2 linked regions of the Caenorhabditis elegans genome follow. The protein of the gene in region 1 interacts with the protein of each later gene in a pairwise test. Each region holds a gene or a part of one and is shown in the gene's direction. Other genes may lie near its edges.

Evidence for each region. The genes of interacting proteins can lie anywhere in the genome.
Region 2: the proteins of top-2 (region 1) and rnf-113 interact in a two-hybrid assay, tested with the Caenorhabditis elegans proteins (one large-scale study listed by BioGRID).

What each region holds. Positions count from the first base shown.
Region 1 is NC_003280.10:11,872,735-11,882,583, forward strand, and holds top-2 (DNA topoisomerase 2 top-2), read left to right. Parts: upstream 1-2,413; 5' UTR 2,414-2,422; coding exon 2,423-2,522; intron 2,523-2,569; coding exon 2,570-2,906; intron 2,907-2,959; coding exon 2,960-3,692; intron 3,693-3,725; exon of another isoform or gene 3,726-3,820; intron 3,821-3,821; exon of another isoform or gene 3,822-3,882; intron 3,883-3,896; exon of another isoform or gene 3,897-3,968; intron 3,969-4,037; coding exon 4,038-4,280; intron 4,281-4,330; coding exon 4,331-6,970; intron 6,971-7,018; coding exon 7,019-7,422; intron 7,423-7,463; coding exon 7,464-7,569; 3' UTR 7,570-7,854; downstream 7,855-9,849. Other genes in the region: npp-3 (Nuclear Pore complex Protein), read right to left, coding at 1-865, 1,020-1,224, 1,274-1,365, 1,426-1,777, 1,825-1,959. UniProt on the Caenorhabditis elegans protein: Control of topological states of DNA by transient breakage and subsequent rejoining of DNA strands. Topoisomerase II makes double-strand breaks.
Region 2 is NC_003281.10:10,753,615-10,759,922, reverse strand, and holds rnf-113 (putative E3 ubiquitin-protein ligase rnf113), read left to right. Parts: upstream 1-2,282; 5' UTR 2,283-2,285; coding exon 2,286-2,423; intron 2,424-2,486; coding exon 2,487-3,219; intron 3,220-3,941; coding exon 3,942-4,225; 3' UTR 4,226-4,299; downstream 4,300-6,308. Other genes in the region: tasp-1 (TASPase homolog), read right to left, coding at 1-71, 123-156; K01G5.10 (Haloacid dehalogenase-like hydrolase domain-containing protein 3), read left to right, coding at 1,405-1,692, 1,739-1,837, 1,888-2,247; Chromobox protein homolog hpl-2, read left to right, coding at 4,413-4,454, 4,729-4,902, 5,170-5,408. UniProt on the Caenorhabditis elegans protein: May function as E3 ubiquitin-protein ligase that catalyzes the transfer of ubiquitin onto target proteins.

The sequences.
Region 1 (9,849 bases):
TGCTCCCGGTACAAACGATCGTAGCCTTTGAGTGCTGAAGCCAGAGATTCCCATCCATATGAATCTGGTCCACAATGTTCTTTGGAGAAGATGTCATAAAGTAGAGCAGCTGTGTTCTCATTTTTGCATACAGCAGCGCACATTTCCAGATAAGCAACTGAATGAACAACATGATGGTTTGGAAGACGAGCACGTTCCAGGAGCCGGCAGAGCTCAATCGATCTCTCCGTACTAAAAGCCATGCTGTTCTCTTCGATTTGCTCCTGAAGCTCTCGTTCGCGTGCTGTTCTCGCATTCTTCTGATGTGCATAGTCGGTCACTTGCATCTCGTATAAATCCACAAAGCATCGAAGGAAGTTCTCATATTGTGATAGAGCCGAATCATAGTTGTTCGATGGATCTGTAGAGCTCAGTTGAGCTGTAACTTTGTCCGTTATGTGGACTGTTTGGCTTTTCGGATCCGGTTTTTGAGTCGTTGATTGTTCCTTTTTCTGATCATCCAGGAAGTTCAGCTCGTCTGTAGAATTTCTTTCAGTCTCCATAAGCTTCGCGGGGAAATATGAAATCAGCTGTTTCAGAAGCTCATCAATAATCATAAACTGATGGGCATAACGGAAGTGTTCCGACTTGATGATCGCTTGTCGCAAGTAATGAAAAGCCATATTCCGGATAGATCGATCGATGACTCTTTCCACGTCCACCTTGATATTCTCGATCCCTAGATGATCTGATGGCGATGAGGCAATCGATTTCAGAGCAACAGCGCATGCTAGCTGTAGAGTTCCGCACATTGCTTGATCCGACCAGTCTGTTTCATTCCGAATGTGGGCGATCATGTTTGTGAGCACTTGTTGAGCATCGTGAACTGTAAACTCTCAAACAGATTTGTAACTGGATTTTTGGGTATAGGCATGAAGATGGAGTAGCGAGAATTGCTTTAGAAAATCGAAAATATTCTCGAATACAGAAAAACCACAAAAGAAAAACAGAAAAATCGCTACTCCATCTTCAAATATTACCTTGAGACAACACTTCACTCGATGTGATTTTAACGAGAGAAATCCAGGCTGTCAAGCTACTACAACTGAGCTTCTCCGGTGGAACTGCCTTTACAATTTGGAATAAATGATTTGAAATCGAAACTGCGTTTCCTCCCGGAATCTCACAGATCATCGAAATGCAACCAATTACTTCACTTCGAATCTCCTCAATGGCATTTCTGACCTGAAATTAATTTTATGAAAGAATTCCAAAATTATAATCAATTCGGTACCAATTTCTGATGTTTAGAGCCTCCTAAACCGTTGACATCTGGAGATTGAAGTCGTGCAAATTCTGATTGAACGGTGAAATTGATTAGTTGTTCTGAAAATTGGAAAAAAAAATTAGTAATATTTATGATAATATAATTTTTTGAAAACCCACGAAAAAGGTTTTTGATCACGTCCTCGTTGATGAATGTGCTATTGAGGAACTTGCTGATACGTTGAGGAATATCCTCTCGGTCCCATTTTAGCATTTGGCGCATTGTTGCGATTAGGAGCCTGTGCGCATCATAGTAGCAAACGACAGCGATTAATCCTCTGTTGAGGCCTTCGAAATGTATTTTTTGAGCTTCTCCGGCCAAAATCAAATCCACAGCTTCCAGCTCATTTAATTGAAAGATATCCGACAAAATGAGTGCTTCCGAACAGATTTCCTCGTCTAGCGCAACTTCCACTCCTGCCATTTCCACATTTCCTGGCTTCAGCTTTTCCCGATCTTTACCCGTTCGTCTCTTCAATTAGAAAGGTTTATTACACTAACATCAGTCGGAAAACATACCGGATTCAAAAGAATATTGCTCAATCGCCATCTGTATTTCTCGATTTCGTTGAACAGCTCGTTTATTTTTCGGTCGTCATCGAAAGCTGTGAAGGAGACGATGAGTTCGTAAAATTTACGAATCTCAATCCACATTTTGAGCTCTCTAAAATAAATAAAACATTATTTAGAACAAAAAGTTACTTTTTTTGAATTTTTTCGCAAAAAAATTACACAACTTCTATCTCGCAATGCATTTCCGTAAGAGACGCAGACACAAAAACTAAATTTCGTATTTCGAGGCTACAACTACGGTAACACTCGTTTCAGCTGTGTATTTTTCGCGCGTTCGCTGCGAGACCCGACGCTCTTAGGCCGCCAATTTCGAATCGGACGCTCATTTTGGCGCGCTCAGTTGTTTTTTTGTGCGCTCTCTAGCCGGCTGTCTTGCATCGATTCAGTGTTCAGTGTCCAGTGATGTCCACTGGTGTGCTAGTTCTTTTTCTCTTCACTCATTTTTCTTCGCATCCTCAAGTTTATTGAATATTCACCGCGTTTCTTTCTCTCTTTCTCCCGATCGTCCTAAAATTAAATGTCATCTTTTTCCAGATCTCTAACAATGAGCGACTCTGATAGTGAATTCTCTATCGAAGATTCACCCAAGAAGAAAACCGCACCAAAGAAGGAGAAGGCGTCACCGAAGAAAAAGAAAGATGATGGTTGGTTAATTTGTAGAGTTTCTTGAATCTAATTTGCTTCTTTTCAGCCAACGAGTCGATGGTTATGACTGAAGAGGACCGCAATGTGTTCACGTCGATCGACAAAAAAGGTGGTGGCTCGAAACAAATGGCGATCGAGGATATCTACCAAAAGAAGTCCCAACTCGAGCACATTCTTCTTCGCCCGGACACCTACATCGGTTCGGTCGAGCATACCGAGAAGACGCCGATGTGGGTCTACAACATGGAGGAGAGCAAGCTGGAGCAGCGTGACATCTCATACGTGCCGGGACTCTACAAGATTTATGATGAAATTCTTGTGAATGCCGCTGACAACAAACAGAGAGATCCGAAGATGAACACAATCAAGATCACCATCAATAAGTAAGTTTAGACCGTAGCATAAAGGAATTTAATTTAATTTTGCTTTCTTTCAGGGAGAAAAATGAGATCTCTGTCTACAACAATGGCAAAGGAATCCCAGTCACTCAGCACAAAGTGGAGAAAGTCTACGTCCCAGAGCTGATTTTTGGAACTCTTCTAACATCTTCTAACTACAATGACGATGAGAAGAAAGTGACGGGAGGACGCAACGGATATGGAGCAAAGCTTTGCAACATCTTCTCCACAAAATTCACTCTGGAGACGTCTTCACGGGATTACAAAAGTGCATTCAAGCAAACGTGGATCAAAAACATGACGCGTGATGAGGAGCCGAAGATTGTTAAGAGCACCGACGAAGACTTCACGAAGATCACATTCTCGCCGGATCTGGCAAAGTTCAAGATGAAGGAGCTGGACGATGACATCTGCCATTTGATGGCTCGGCGTGCGTATGATGTGGCTGGATCCAGTAAAGGAGTCGCCGTGTTCCTCAATGGAAAACGAATTCCAATCAAAGGATTCGAGGACTACGTCCAAATGTACACTTCGCAGTTCAACAATGAAGGAGAACCCCTCAAGATCGCATACGAGCAAGTTGGAGATCGTTGGCAAGTCGCCTTGGCTCTTTCGGAAAAAGGCTTCCAACAAGTGTCATTTGTCAACAGTATTGCTACCACAAAAGGAGGACGGCACGTGGACTACGTGGCTGATCAGATGGTCGCCAAGTTCATCGACTCGATCAAGCGGAAGCTCACAAAGACGTCGATGAATATCAAGCCATTCCAGGTAAATTTCGTCGAATTTAAAATATTTACCGCCAATGATGACTCAAAATAGCTATATGAACTCTTTGGTGACTCGATAATAAGAGAAATCTGAAAATTTTCAAGGTTTTTCTAGAGATTTCACCGATTCTTTTGAAGTATCGGTGCACCAAGTGAAAAATAAAATTGCGACGCTTTAGTGACGCTGGAGAAAGTTTTTATCCAGTGTCTAAAGGCGCGGCGCAACATTTTTAAACTTTCCGATGATTTGTGATTACTAAAAGGCGAATCTGAGGCGAGGAATTGCTAATGCGAATTCAAATCTAATAAATTTTCCAAATATTCAATTTTATATCAAAATTTTCAGATCAAAAATCACATGTGGGTTTTTGTGAATTGCTTGATCGAAAATCCGACATTCGACTCCCAGACGAAAGAGACTATGACCCTGCAGCAGAAGCAGTTCGGATCGACCTGCGTCCTCAGCGAGAAGTTCTCCAAAGCGGCTTCAAGTGTTGGAATCACCGATGCTGTTATGAGTTGGGTTCGCTTCAAACAAATGGACGACCTCAACAAAAAGTGCTCCAAGACGAAGACTTCCAAGCTGAAGGTAACAATTCATCTAATTCGTGGCCTTGTTTTAATTAATATTTATTTCAGGGCATTCCAAAGCTTGAAGATGCCAACGACGCTGGAACCAAAAATTCCCAACAATGCACATTAATTCTGACGGAGGGAGACTCGGCCAAAACGCTTGCTGTTTCGGGACTTTCAGTCGTTGGACGCGACAAATATGGAGTATTCCCACTTCGAGGAAAATTGCTAAATGTCCGAGAAGGAAATATGAAACAAATCGCCGATAATGCTGAGGTCAATGCCATGATCAAAATTCTGGGACTCCAATACAAGAAGAAGTACGAGACAGAAGATGACTTCAAGACTCTTCGATACGGTAAACTGATGGTCATGGCTGATCAGGATCAAGACGGTTCACACATCAAAGGACTCGTGATCAATTTCATCCATCACTTCTGGCCTTCTCTCATTCAGCGGAACTTCGTAGAAGAATTCATCACTCCAATTGTCAAAGCCACCAAAGGAAAAGAAGAAGTTTCCTTCTATTCGCTCCCAGAATATTCTGAGTGGAGAATGAATACGGATAACTGGAAGTCGTACAAGATCAAGTACTACAAGGGATTGGGTACATCGACTTCTAAGGAAGCTAAGGAATACTTCTTGGACATGGTTCGTCATCGTATCCGCTTCAAGTACAATGGAGCTGATGATGATAACGCTGTCGACATGGCTTTCTCGAAGAAGAAGATTGAAGAGAGAAAAGACTGGCTCTCGAAGTGGATGCGGGAGAAGAAGGACCGAAAGCAGCAGGGACTTGCTGAAGAATATCTCTACAACAAGGACACTCGATTCGTCACCTTCAAAGATTTCGTCAATCGTGAATTGGTCCTCTTCTCGAATCTCGACAACGAGCGTTCAATTCCATGCCTTGTGGATGGTTTCAAGCCAGGACAGCGGAAGGTTCTCTTCGCGTGCTTCAAGAGAGCAGACAAGCGTGAAGTCAAAGTAGCTCAATTGGCTGGAGCTGTCGCTGAAATTTCTGCTTACCATCACGGAGAACAGTCGCTTATGGGAACAATTGTGAATCTCGCTCAAGATTACGTTGGCTCCAACAACATCAACCTGCTTCTTCCAATCGGACAGTTTGGTACTCGTCTCCAAGGTGGAAAGGACAGTGCTTCAGCTCGTTACATCTTCACTCAACTGTCGCCAGTCACTCGTACACTCTTCCCGGCTCACGATGACAATGTCCTTCGTTTCCTTTATGAAGAAAATCAGCGTATTGAGCCAGAATGGTATTGCCCGATTATTCCAATGGTACTCGTCAATGGAGCTCAAGGCATCGGTACTGGATGGTCCACGAACATTCCTAATTACAATCCACGTGAACTGGTCAAGAACATCAAGCGTCTTATCGCCGGCGAGCCACAGAAAGCCTTAGCTCCATGGTACAAGAACTTCCGCGGAAAGATCATTCAAATCGACCCGAGTCGATTTGCATGCTATGGTGAAGTTGCTGTGCTGGATGACAACACCATTGAGATCACCGAGTTGCCAATCAAACAGTGGACTCAAGACTACAAAGAGAAGGTTTTGGAAGGATTGATGGAGAGCTCGGACAAGAAATCGCCTGTTATCGTCGACTACAAAGAGTATCACACAGATACAACTGTCAAGTTCGTCGTGAAGCTCTCGCCGGGAAAACTTCGTGAATTGGAGCGCGGTCAGGATCTTCATCAAGTCTTCAAGCTCCAAGCTGTCATCAACACTACGTGCATGGTACTTTTCGATGCTGCCGGATGTCTTCGTACATACACTTCGCCAGAAGCGATTACTCAAGAGTTCTACGATAGTCGCCAAGAGAAGTACGTACAGAGAAAGGAGTACCTTCTCGGAGTTCTTCAGGCTCAGAGCAAGCGTCTCACTAACCAGGCTCGTTTCATCCTCGCCAAGATCAACAACGAGATTGTTCTCGAGAACAAGAAGAAGGCGGCGATTGTCGATGTTTTGATCAAGATGAAGTTCGATGCTGATCCAGTGAAGAAGTGGAAGGAGGAGCAAAAACTCAAAGAGCTTCGTGAATCTGGAGAGATCGAGCTGGACGAAGATGATCTAGCTGCTGTCGCCGTCGAAGAGGACGAAGCCATTTCCTCTGCTGCGAAGGCCGTTGAAACCAAGCTATCAGACTACGATTACCTTGTCGGAATGGCTCTCATCAAGCTTTCGGAAGAAGAGAAGAATAAGCTCATCAAGGAATCGGAGGAGAAGATGGCTGAGGTTCGAGTTATCGAGAAGAAGACCTGGCAAGATCTTTGGCATGAGGATCTGGACAACTTCGTGTCTGAGTTGGACAAACAGGAGGCTCGCGAGAAAGCTGATCAAGATGCCAGCATCAAAAATGCCGCCAAAAAGCTTGCTGCCGACGCAAAGACCGGACGTGGACCCAAGAAGAATGTGTGCACGGAAGTCCTTCCATCCAAAGATGGACAGCGCATTGAGCCGATGTTGGATGCTGCAACCAAGGCCAAATATGAGAAGATGTCTCAGCCAAAGAAGGAACGCGTCAAGAAAGAGCCAAAGGAGCCGAAAGAACCAAAGAAGGTGAAAAAGGAAGGCCAGGACATTAAAAAGTTCATGTCTCCAGCTGCTCCGAAGACTGCGAAGAAGGAGAAAAGCGACGGCTTCAACTCTGACATGTCAGAGGAAAGTGACGTGGAGTTCGATGTAAGATTTCCTCTGTAATTTCTTCAACTTCTAAAATATTTTTTGCAGGAAGGAATCGATTTCGATTCGGACGATGACGGTGTGGAGCGTGAGGATGTCGTCTCAAAGCCAAAACCTCGTACTGGAAAAGGAGCTGCGAAAGCGGAAGTTATCGATTTGTCAGATGATGATGAAGTTCCTGCAAAGAAGCCTGCTCCAGCGAAGAAAGCTGCTCCGAAGAAGAAAAAGAGCGAGTTCAGCGATCTGTCTGGCGGCGACAGTGATGAAGAAGCTGAGAAGAAGCCGTCCACCAGCAAAAAGCCGTCTCCAAAGAAGGCTGCTCCGAAGACGGCCGAGCCCAAGTCGAAGGCGGTGACCGATTTCTTTGGTGCTTCAAAGAAGAACGGAAAGAAGGCCGCTGGTTCCGATGATGAAGACGACGAAAGCTTCGTTGTGGCTCCAAGAGAGAAGAGGTTAGTTTGAAAATTATTTTTAAAAAATGTAATTATTTCAGCGGAAGAGCTCGCAAGGCGCCACCAACTTACGACGTGGATTCAGGATCCGATTCGGATCAGCCAAAGAAGAAGAGGGGACGCGTCGTCGACTCCGACTCGGATTAAATTAATTTGTTTCCCACCTTCCTTAAGTGTTTCTAATTTATTTTCTTTCCAATCATTTTAAAATCGTTTTAACGATCTCAACCATCCCCATCCTCCCCCAAATCATCCCGTATATTAAGTTTGTATTTTTACATGAGGGAAACTGCTGTAATATAATTATCGCCCTTATGCCTAAATTATTTACCCCTACCTAATTTCACTGTTTTTAAAAGTTATTTTTCTATTTATGTGAGTCTCAAGAATTATTGAGAAGAGTCTTCTTGCAATGAAAATGCCTATATTTCCAAAGCTTCCAACCTATATGCAGGTCTTCATCGTTTGTGTCGCTTGAGAAATGACGATGACAAGTCGTAAACGGTCTGTGTCCTTCTTCGTTGCATCCAACGTCTTGTTCCTACTGTTTTCTATTCCCCTATCGATCACACACTGTGTGTGCGTGTCCTTGGGCCTCTACCGTTTTTGAGGTCGAACATTTTAGACATTCAGGCGAACAATGAGATTTAGAGAGACACATGGAATCGCCTCCCCGGGAGAACTGGAGACTCGAGATGATTTGGTAGTCAGATAAGAAGAATCAATTGTATATTGAAGAAAAATGTAGAAATTAGGGAAACTTTTAAAGATAAAATTTAAAAATAAAATGCATTCGGCGCCAAGCTGAATGTGTCTCTAGTCATAGTCCTTGCTTTGTGGAGGATATTATGACTAACGAGCACATCCAGCGTGGCACATGGTGCATGAGCAGCTGAATACTGGAACGAAATTTGAATAAGTTGATTCTCAGAAGTTTGGCCGATGGCGGTATCGAGTGAAAGGGTCAAAAGGAAATGAATGTCAAGAGAGAGAGAGAGACCGACCTGTTTGAGAGAAGAAGGAGAAACTGGGCGGGGTTTTGGTAACAGGGGAAAGGATAAGGAAAAAGTTGGAGAGTTTGGGGTGAAGGTGAAAATAGTCGAAAGTTGAGAGGGGCGGGGCATCGTGTCTCGAGAAGCTGGAAGATTCTGGAAAATCTGAAAAAAACACCTTTTTTAAAAAGGTATTCCGTGATCGTGGCAAGACCTGGGAAATGGGAATTATATTTTAGAAATGTACAAAAAAATCGTGGCGAGACCCACCAAGGTTTTTACAATATAAAAATATCAACTAACTTTGAATTCGCGGAAAAAGTCAGTTTTCAAAAAAAAAACTACAAATTCTCGTTTCCATTACTTTTCAGAAATTAGCTATACAGTAGAGAAGGCGCTCACGAAACTTCTCAAACGTAGATCAAACCAGGGGTGGGCGGCGAATGGCGTTCGGCAAATTGATATGTCGACAAATTCGGCAAATCGACAAATTGCCGGTTTGCCGATTTGCCGGAAATTTTTAATTCCGGCAAATTGTCGGTTTGTCGATTTTCCGGAAATTTAAATTCCAGCAATTTGCCGATTAGCCGGAAATTTAAATTCCAGCAATTTGCCGATTTGCCGGAAATTTTCCATTCCGGCAAATTGTCGATTTGCCGGAAATTTTTATTTTCGGCAAATTGCCGGTTTGCCGTTTGCCGGAAATTTAAATTCCAGCAATTTGCCGATTTGCCAGAAATTTTCCATTCCGGCAAATTGTCGATTTGCCGGAAATTTTTATTTTCGGCAATTTGCCGATTTGCCGTTTGCCGGATATCTAATTTGCCGGAAATGTTTAGAGGGACTTTTTATAAGACAGAAACACTGAAAACTGTGCTTTTTTGAATTTTTTCCCGTTTTTTCTACATATTTTCATAGAATTTGCTTGCTTTTCAAAATAGATGTAAGAGAATTCATAGGATGTGTTCAGTTTTGTCATTTGAAATTGGAATTCTGAAGTTTCGAAAAATAAGTGCAAAACCGTATTTGCCGAAAATTTTCGGCAAATCGGCAATTTGCCGGTTTGCCGGAAATTTTTAATTCCGGCAATTTGCCGATTTGCCGATTTGCCGGTTTGCCGGAAATTTTCAATTCCAGCGATTTGCCGGTTTGCGGGAAATTTTTAATTCCGCCAATTAGCCGGTTTGCCGATTTGCCGGAAATTTCAATTCCGGCAATTTGCCGATTTGCCGATTTGCCGGAAAAATCGTTTGCCGCCCACCCCTGGATCAAACCGGCATGGGACACTCTGACGCCACGTGTATTTCTGGATTTTTTGAAAAATTTTACCGTTGCTATTATTTATCGGCGTGTTCCTTAAAAACCTGTATCTAAAAATAAAACACGCAACCACGTAAAAACAAAGCCACGTGGCAGTTGCGATGTTGATTTTTTT
Region 2 (6,308 bases), on another chromosome or scaffold:
CTCAACAGTGCCTGTACCACACGCAAAACGGCAGTCCTCGGCAAGACTTGCGTCGAATTTAGCACACGCACCTGCAAGATTTAAATTTTGCCGCAAAAAATCGATAATTAGTGTGCGCAAACCTCCGTGCACCGCGATTATCTCGCAGTTGCTCATTTTTTGAGGTTTTCTTCGAGTAGAACTCCACTGAATCGATGTTTCAGAAGGATTTTATTATCTCCGGCCACCAGGACGGGAATGTCGTATTTGAATTTCTGAAAATTAGGAATTTAAACTACCTATTTTTAAATTTTCTGTATTTATATTTTTATTAAATGAGAAAATAGAATACAAAACAAAAAAAACGTAGACGTAGAAGAAAGTCTCACTTCAATTAGCTCTGGCGATTCTTGGGCGAGATTTTTCTCGACGACAACAATCCCGGGATGCTTTTTAAGATAGTTTTTGAGTTGTCTGTGAAAATGTACGCACAGCGAGCAGTTTTGCGATGAGAAAAGCACGAGTTCGACGGGTTTGGACGAGGAGAAGGAGCGCTGCAAAGCACGAGGAAATGTGATCATTTGAATTGGCGTCAAAATCACATGGTAAAACTAGGCCGCGCATGACCTGAGCACGAGACACTCTCTCGGCCATTTTCAAGTTGGCGCGCTGTGTCACACACTCCGGTGGAGCGTGTTGTGGCGGAGTGTATGAGAAGTGTGCGAGTGGTTTGCGTTCGGCGCACTCCGCCCACTTTTTCCGTGCCGCACGCGGGTCTTTCGAATTTTATCGATTTTTTAAAAGTGTTTTTTTAGTTTATTTTTGTTTTTGACGAATTTATGAGGGATTTCTTGCGATTTTGGATTTTAAATAAAGAAATAGGTTTAAATATAAAAAATATCTTTAGATAAAGTATTCCTAATCGATGAAACAAGTGGAGTCAAGGAAATCTCTAGTTTTTCCTTCTAAATACTCGAAGCAAGCCAAAATGAACGAATTTTGTGATAAGATTTCTTTTAAATTGTTCAAAAATTGTTATTCTGTTCAAAATCAGGTGTTGGAAATTAATTGATTTTGGCTGAGAAATCGTTATTTGGAGAGTTTGAACAGTAAATTGAACTCTTTTTTTTCTACAGAAATATCTCTGAAATTCGGATGCAAAAACCTTTTTTCTTTTAAGAAGCCTAGTGTTATCCCTATGCATCTCGAAAAACTTCTCAAAAATTCCTGATGTTTGAATTCGAAAAATCGATTTCCGATACTTCCAATATTATTTTCTACGAAATCGTCATTTAAATAGTTAAAATGCAGTATTTCCGTCGTTAAAATATTGTTTTCGGCCAATTTGGAGGAAAATTTTCAATCAACACACTAACCTTTTCTTTGGAAATCTAAAAAAAACTCTAGATTTCCATATTTAGCTCAATGCTCTCCAACCTGCTCCGTACAACTTCTCGTAACCTTTCCACCCCTCCAGTCGTGAAAGTTCTCTCCCTAGATGCTCGTGATACACTAATCACGATGAAAGAGTCTCCACCGATAGTTTATTCCCGTTTCGCGAGGCAATATGATTTGGAAGTCGACTCCGATCAAATCATGGGAAGCTTTCTTAAAAATTATAAACGAATGAGCATCGCATCGCCCTGCTTTGGGTTCAATGGAATTGGAAACAAAAGTTGGTGGATTGAAGTAGTTTCTTCTACGCTTTTGGATGTAGGTGTAATCTGAATTAGGCAAGTCCCCTACTTGATAGTTTCAGTGTGCTCCGGATTCTGAAAAAGGACGGGTTGAAGTGATCGCTGGAGCTTTGTACAATCACTATGCAACTCCTGAGCCGTGGAAACTAGTTGAAAGCGATGTAAATTTTGTGAATTGTTGAAAAAAAAATACTGCAATTTTTCATTTTAGACGCGCCAAACTCTGCAAAAACTTCGCCTGAAAGGAATCATCCTGGTTGTCATCTCCAATTTCGATAGTCGCTTGAAATCTCTACTTTCTCAATTCAATTTACTCGATCTTTTCTCCATGACAGTTCTCTCCGGCGAAATTGGGTACGAAAAGCCCGATGAGAAGATCTTCCAGCTAGTTGTCAACCATTTCGATCTAATTTCTCCCTCGGAAATCTTGCACATTGGAGACAATTTGAAAAATGATTTCCATGGCGCCAAAAATTTCGGCTGTAGAGCTCTATTGTTTGATTCATCTTCCTCTCATAATGTTGAACCGTTTTATTGTATTTCTCGTTTGTCAGATTTGAAGCTTTATTAATTAATTGAATTTAATAAATAGTTTTAATTTTTCAGATAATGGATCTCTTCCGAAAACCGAAAAAGCGCAATGCACCCGTCGTTCGTAAAAAGGAAAGCTCAAGTGATGAGGATCAAGATTCAGAAGTGAAGGATGTGATTCAAAAGCGACGTCGTACGAATCCGATGGTCCAGTCGGTGAGATCTTGGTACTTTAGTGCTCCAAAATTTTGGAAAATCCCAATAAACTTTGAAATTCAGACCAAACAACTAGACGCCTCAACACGACGTGCTGATAATTCATCGGATGATTCTGACGACTCTGACGACAATCAGGATATCGCAGTAGCAACTCACTCGTTCGCCGCTTCAGGAGATGCCGGTCCATCTGGACCACGTGATCAAGGTGCCACTGCAACACTCGAAGTGGACACAGACTATTCACACGATGCCCAGGCTCAATTCGAACGAGTCCAACAGCAACTGAAGGAAGGCGTCGAGAAAGACGGAAAAATTCTGTACAAGGGAAGTGCACTGTATGGAGCCAAAGAGGCGAAGGATACGGCCAAGGGAAACGCTGCAAGTGGTTATAATCGAGTTGGGCCCGTTCGGGCGCCACAATTTCTACGACAAACAGTCCGTTGGGATTTTGCACCGGATATTTGCAAGGATTACAAGGAGACTGGATTCTGTACGTTTGGAGATTCGTGTAAATTTGTGCACGACCGATCGGACTATAAACACGGATGGGAGATTGATGAGGAGTACGAAGCAGGAAAATATGGTGCTGAAGACGATGCGAATTACGAGATTCATGAAGGCGACGATACGTTTCCGGAGGATTGTTTTATTTGCGGAAATCCATTTGTTGATCCGATCGTGACAAAATGCAAGCACTACTTTTGCACCGGTTGTGCGTTGAAATCGTTCCAAAAGTCGTCAAAATGCCCAATATGTCAGCAGAATACTGAGAATATTATGAATACCGCAAAAGGTTTGAAATAGAACGATTAATTCGTGATTTTCGCAAGTTTTGGAAGGTTTTTCGGCGCAGTTTGATACTTACATGTTACGGAGGATACTGCACGTGGACAAGCGTGAATCTTTTTTCACATTTTTTGGACAATAATAAGACATTATAACTAGAAAGAGAGGAGGAGCCTAATTTCGCAACTCTGCGGCACGATTTTTCGACAATTTTCCACTGTTTTTTTTTTTGGTTTTTTTTCTGGTTTTTTTTTCCAAAAAACTTCGATTCTTCCTGTTTTATTTTTTTTTACGAGAAAAAAATCAAATTTAATTCGCATAACATTTCGATTATAGTTCATATTTTTACAACCAATTTAGCTTGAAATATCCTCCCAATCTAATGTGAATTAAAAGGAATAAAATCGAAACTTTTATGGAAAAACCCCAAAAAAGAAAAAGGAAAACCGTGCCGCATGGTTGCAAAATTGGTTGCAAAATTACGTTCCGCCTCTTTTTCTGCTTTTTGGAAAACTCATTTCTTTGGTAATTTGGAATGTTGGAAGAGAATCAGCGAAAATAGTTCAAAAAAGTAAATTTCAGCCAATAACTCACAGTTGTCCGGGTGAAGTACAAAATCCTTCGTAAATTTACATGCAACAAACCGCGCTTTTAATCCAAAACTTGCGAAATTCACAAGATAGTAGCTCGAAAAATGTGGCAAAAAAAAATTAATTTTTAAATTTTCAGAGCTCCTAACCTACCTGAAACGGAAGAAGCAACAACAGAAGCAAGAAGCCGAGAAACAGGAAGAAGAAAAAGATAGTGACGATGATGAAAAACCACACGAATGCGACGATCACCATCATCATGATCACGAAGATGAGCCCGAGGAGCCTGAAAACGACTCAAATGTTCCAGAAGCCGAGGAGAAGAGCGATGAGGAACAGGAGATTATGATGGAGGATGTGGAAGGGCTTGAAGGTGGAGAAAATGACTCTGAGAGTGATGATGATGATGCTGAAAAAGATTGATAATTTTTATTTTTTTTTTAAATATTTCTGTACGGTGATTGTCTGTGAGTAAACTAAATATGATTTTTTTTCTTGTTCGAGCCTTTTTTTAATTTCAAGATATTGTTCGAATCTTTATTCCATATTTTTTCTATGTTTTTTCAGATTTCTCCCATTTTAGCTCAAATTTATTTCAGCAATTTCAAAAATGTCGAGCAAATCAACAAAGCGAGCAAAAATCGAAGATCCGGTATGGAACGGCGAAAAAACCAAAAAATCTATTTTTACAACAAAAAAAACTAAAAAATACAATTTTGCAACGAAAAAAAACCAAAAAACAGTCCATTTTGCAAAAAAACAATAAATCAATTTTTGCACTAAAAAAAATATTTTAAAAAAACAATTTTGCAACAAAAAATCTATTTTTGCATAAAAAATCCAATTTTGCTAGAAACAAAGCGACAGTATAAGTTCCCCGACAAAGAAAAAAAAAGTCACATTTTATTCAAAAATCTGATTTCCAGAAGGACAACGTGTTCATGGTGGAAAAAGTGCTGGACAAGCGAACTGGAAAAGCCGGCAGAGACGAATTTCTCATACAGTGGCAAGGATTCCCCGAGTCTGACTCTAGCTGGGAGCCGAGAGAGAATCTCCAGTGCGTCGAGATGTTGGACGAGTTTGAGAGGGAATTTTCAAAGGTTTTGAAGAATTTTTTAAAGTTTATTTTACTTGAAATGGTCCTAAAAAGCGAATTTCATAGTGAAAATTGTTTGAAAAATCTTCGATTTTGCCCACTTTTCCGTGCTGCAACTGTTTAAATTAGATTTTTGTTCGATTATTCTCCTATTTTCACACGGAAAAGCTGGTAAACTTGAAGATTTTAACTAAAATTAGGTTTTTTAGAGTTAAAATTACAAAGTCATAAAATCCGATTTTTCTGCAACAAACTTATTTTATTTTTACAGAGAGAGAAACCAATTCGCAAACGACACAGCCAGAAGCCCGAACCTTCCGAAGATCAAGCGGATCCAGAAGAGGATAAAGATGAAAAGAAGGAAACGAATCAAAATGACAAATTCTCACTGGAAGGCAAGCAGTTAAAATGCATTGTCGGGCTCACCAAGGGACCTGGGGAACTTCATTTTCTGTGCAAATTCAGTGATGACACGGCACGGCTTCTTCCAGCGAAGGAGGTGAACAGTCGGTGAGTTTGGGAATTGCTCCCGGTTGATTAAAAGTGTATTACGGAAACACTCCACCCAAAAACTTTAAAAGTATCCGAAAAAAAATATTACGGGAACACAAAATTCTGAGAATGCGTATTGCGCAACATATTTGACGCGCAAAATATCTCGTAGCGAAAACTACAGTCATTCTTTAAATGACTACTGTAGTGTCGATTTACGGGCTCGAGTTTTGAAATGGATTTTTGTTCAAATAGTGGCATTTTTGCTTAATTTTAATATTCTATCGGTAAATCAAAAAAATATGATTTCGAAAATAGAGCCCGTAAATCGACACAGGCACTACAGAATTTACTGTATTTACTGTACTGTAGTTTTCGCTACGAGATATTTTGCGCGATACGCATTTTCAGAATCTTGTGGTCTCGTGATACGCGTCGATGGGGATTTCACTCTAAAATATGCCGGCTGTACTGCACATAAGTGCCGAAATACCGAAATACCACGAAAAATATGAAAAATTGGACTTTTTCACTAAGAAATTCGAGGAAAAACGGAACAATTGCGTTTAAATTGATAAAAACCATGGCGCGGTAATTCAAACATTCAAAATTTTTCTGACTATTCTGCGTATTTAAAACTGAAATCCCGATCGGCGCTAGAGTTTTTAGCTAGGAAGCGAACCTCAATTTGGCATTTAAAAAAGCTCTAAATTTCAGCTATCCGAGCCAAGTTATCAGATACTACGAATCCAAGCTAACAATCCAAGACCCAAAAGCCGACGAGCTTTAATCACTCCCCACCCCGATACACGTGTTCAATATCATGTTCTCTCATCTCATTCCCATATTCTTTTTGAATTATCTTGTAAAATCTATACCAATTTTTGTGCTAACCCCTGAAATCGAGACTAAATATTA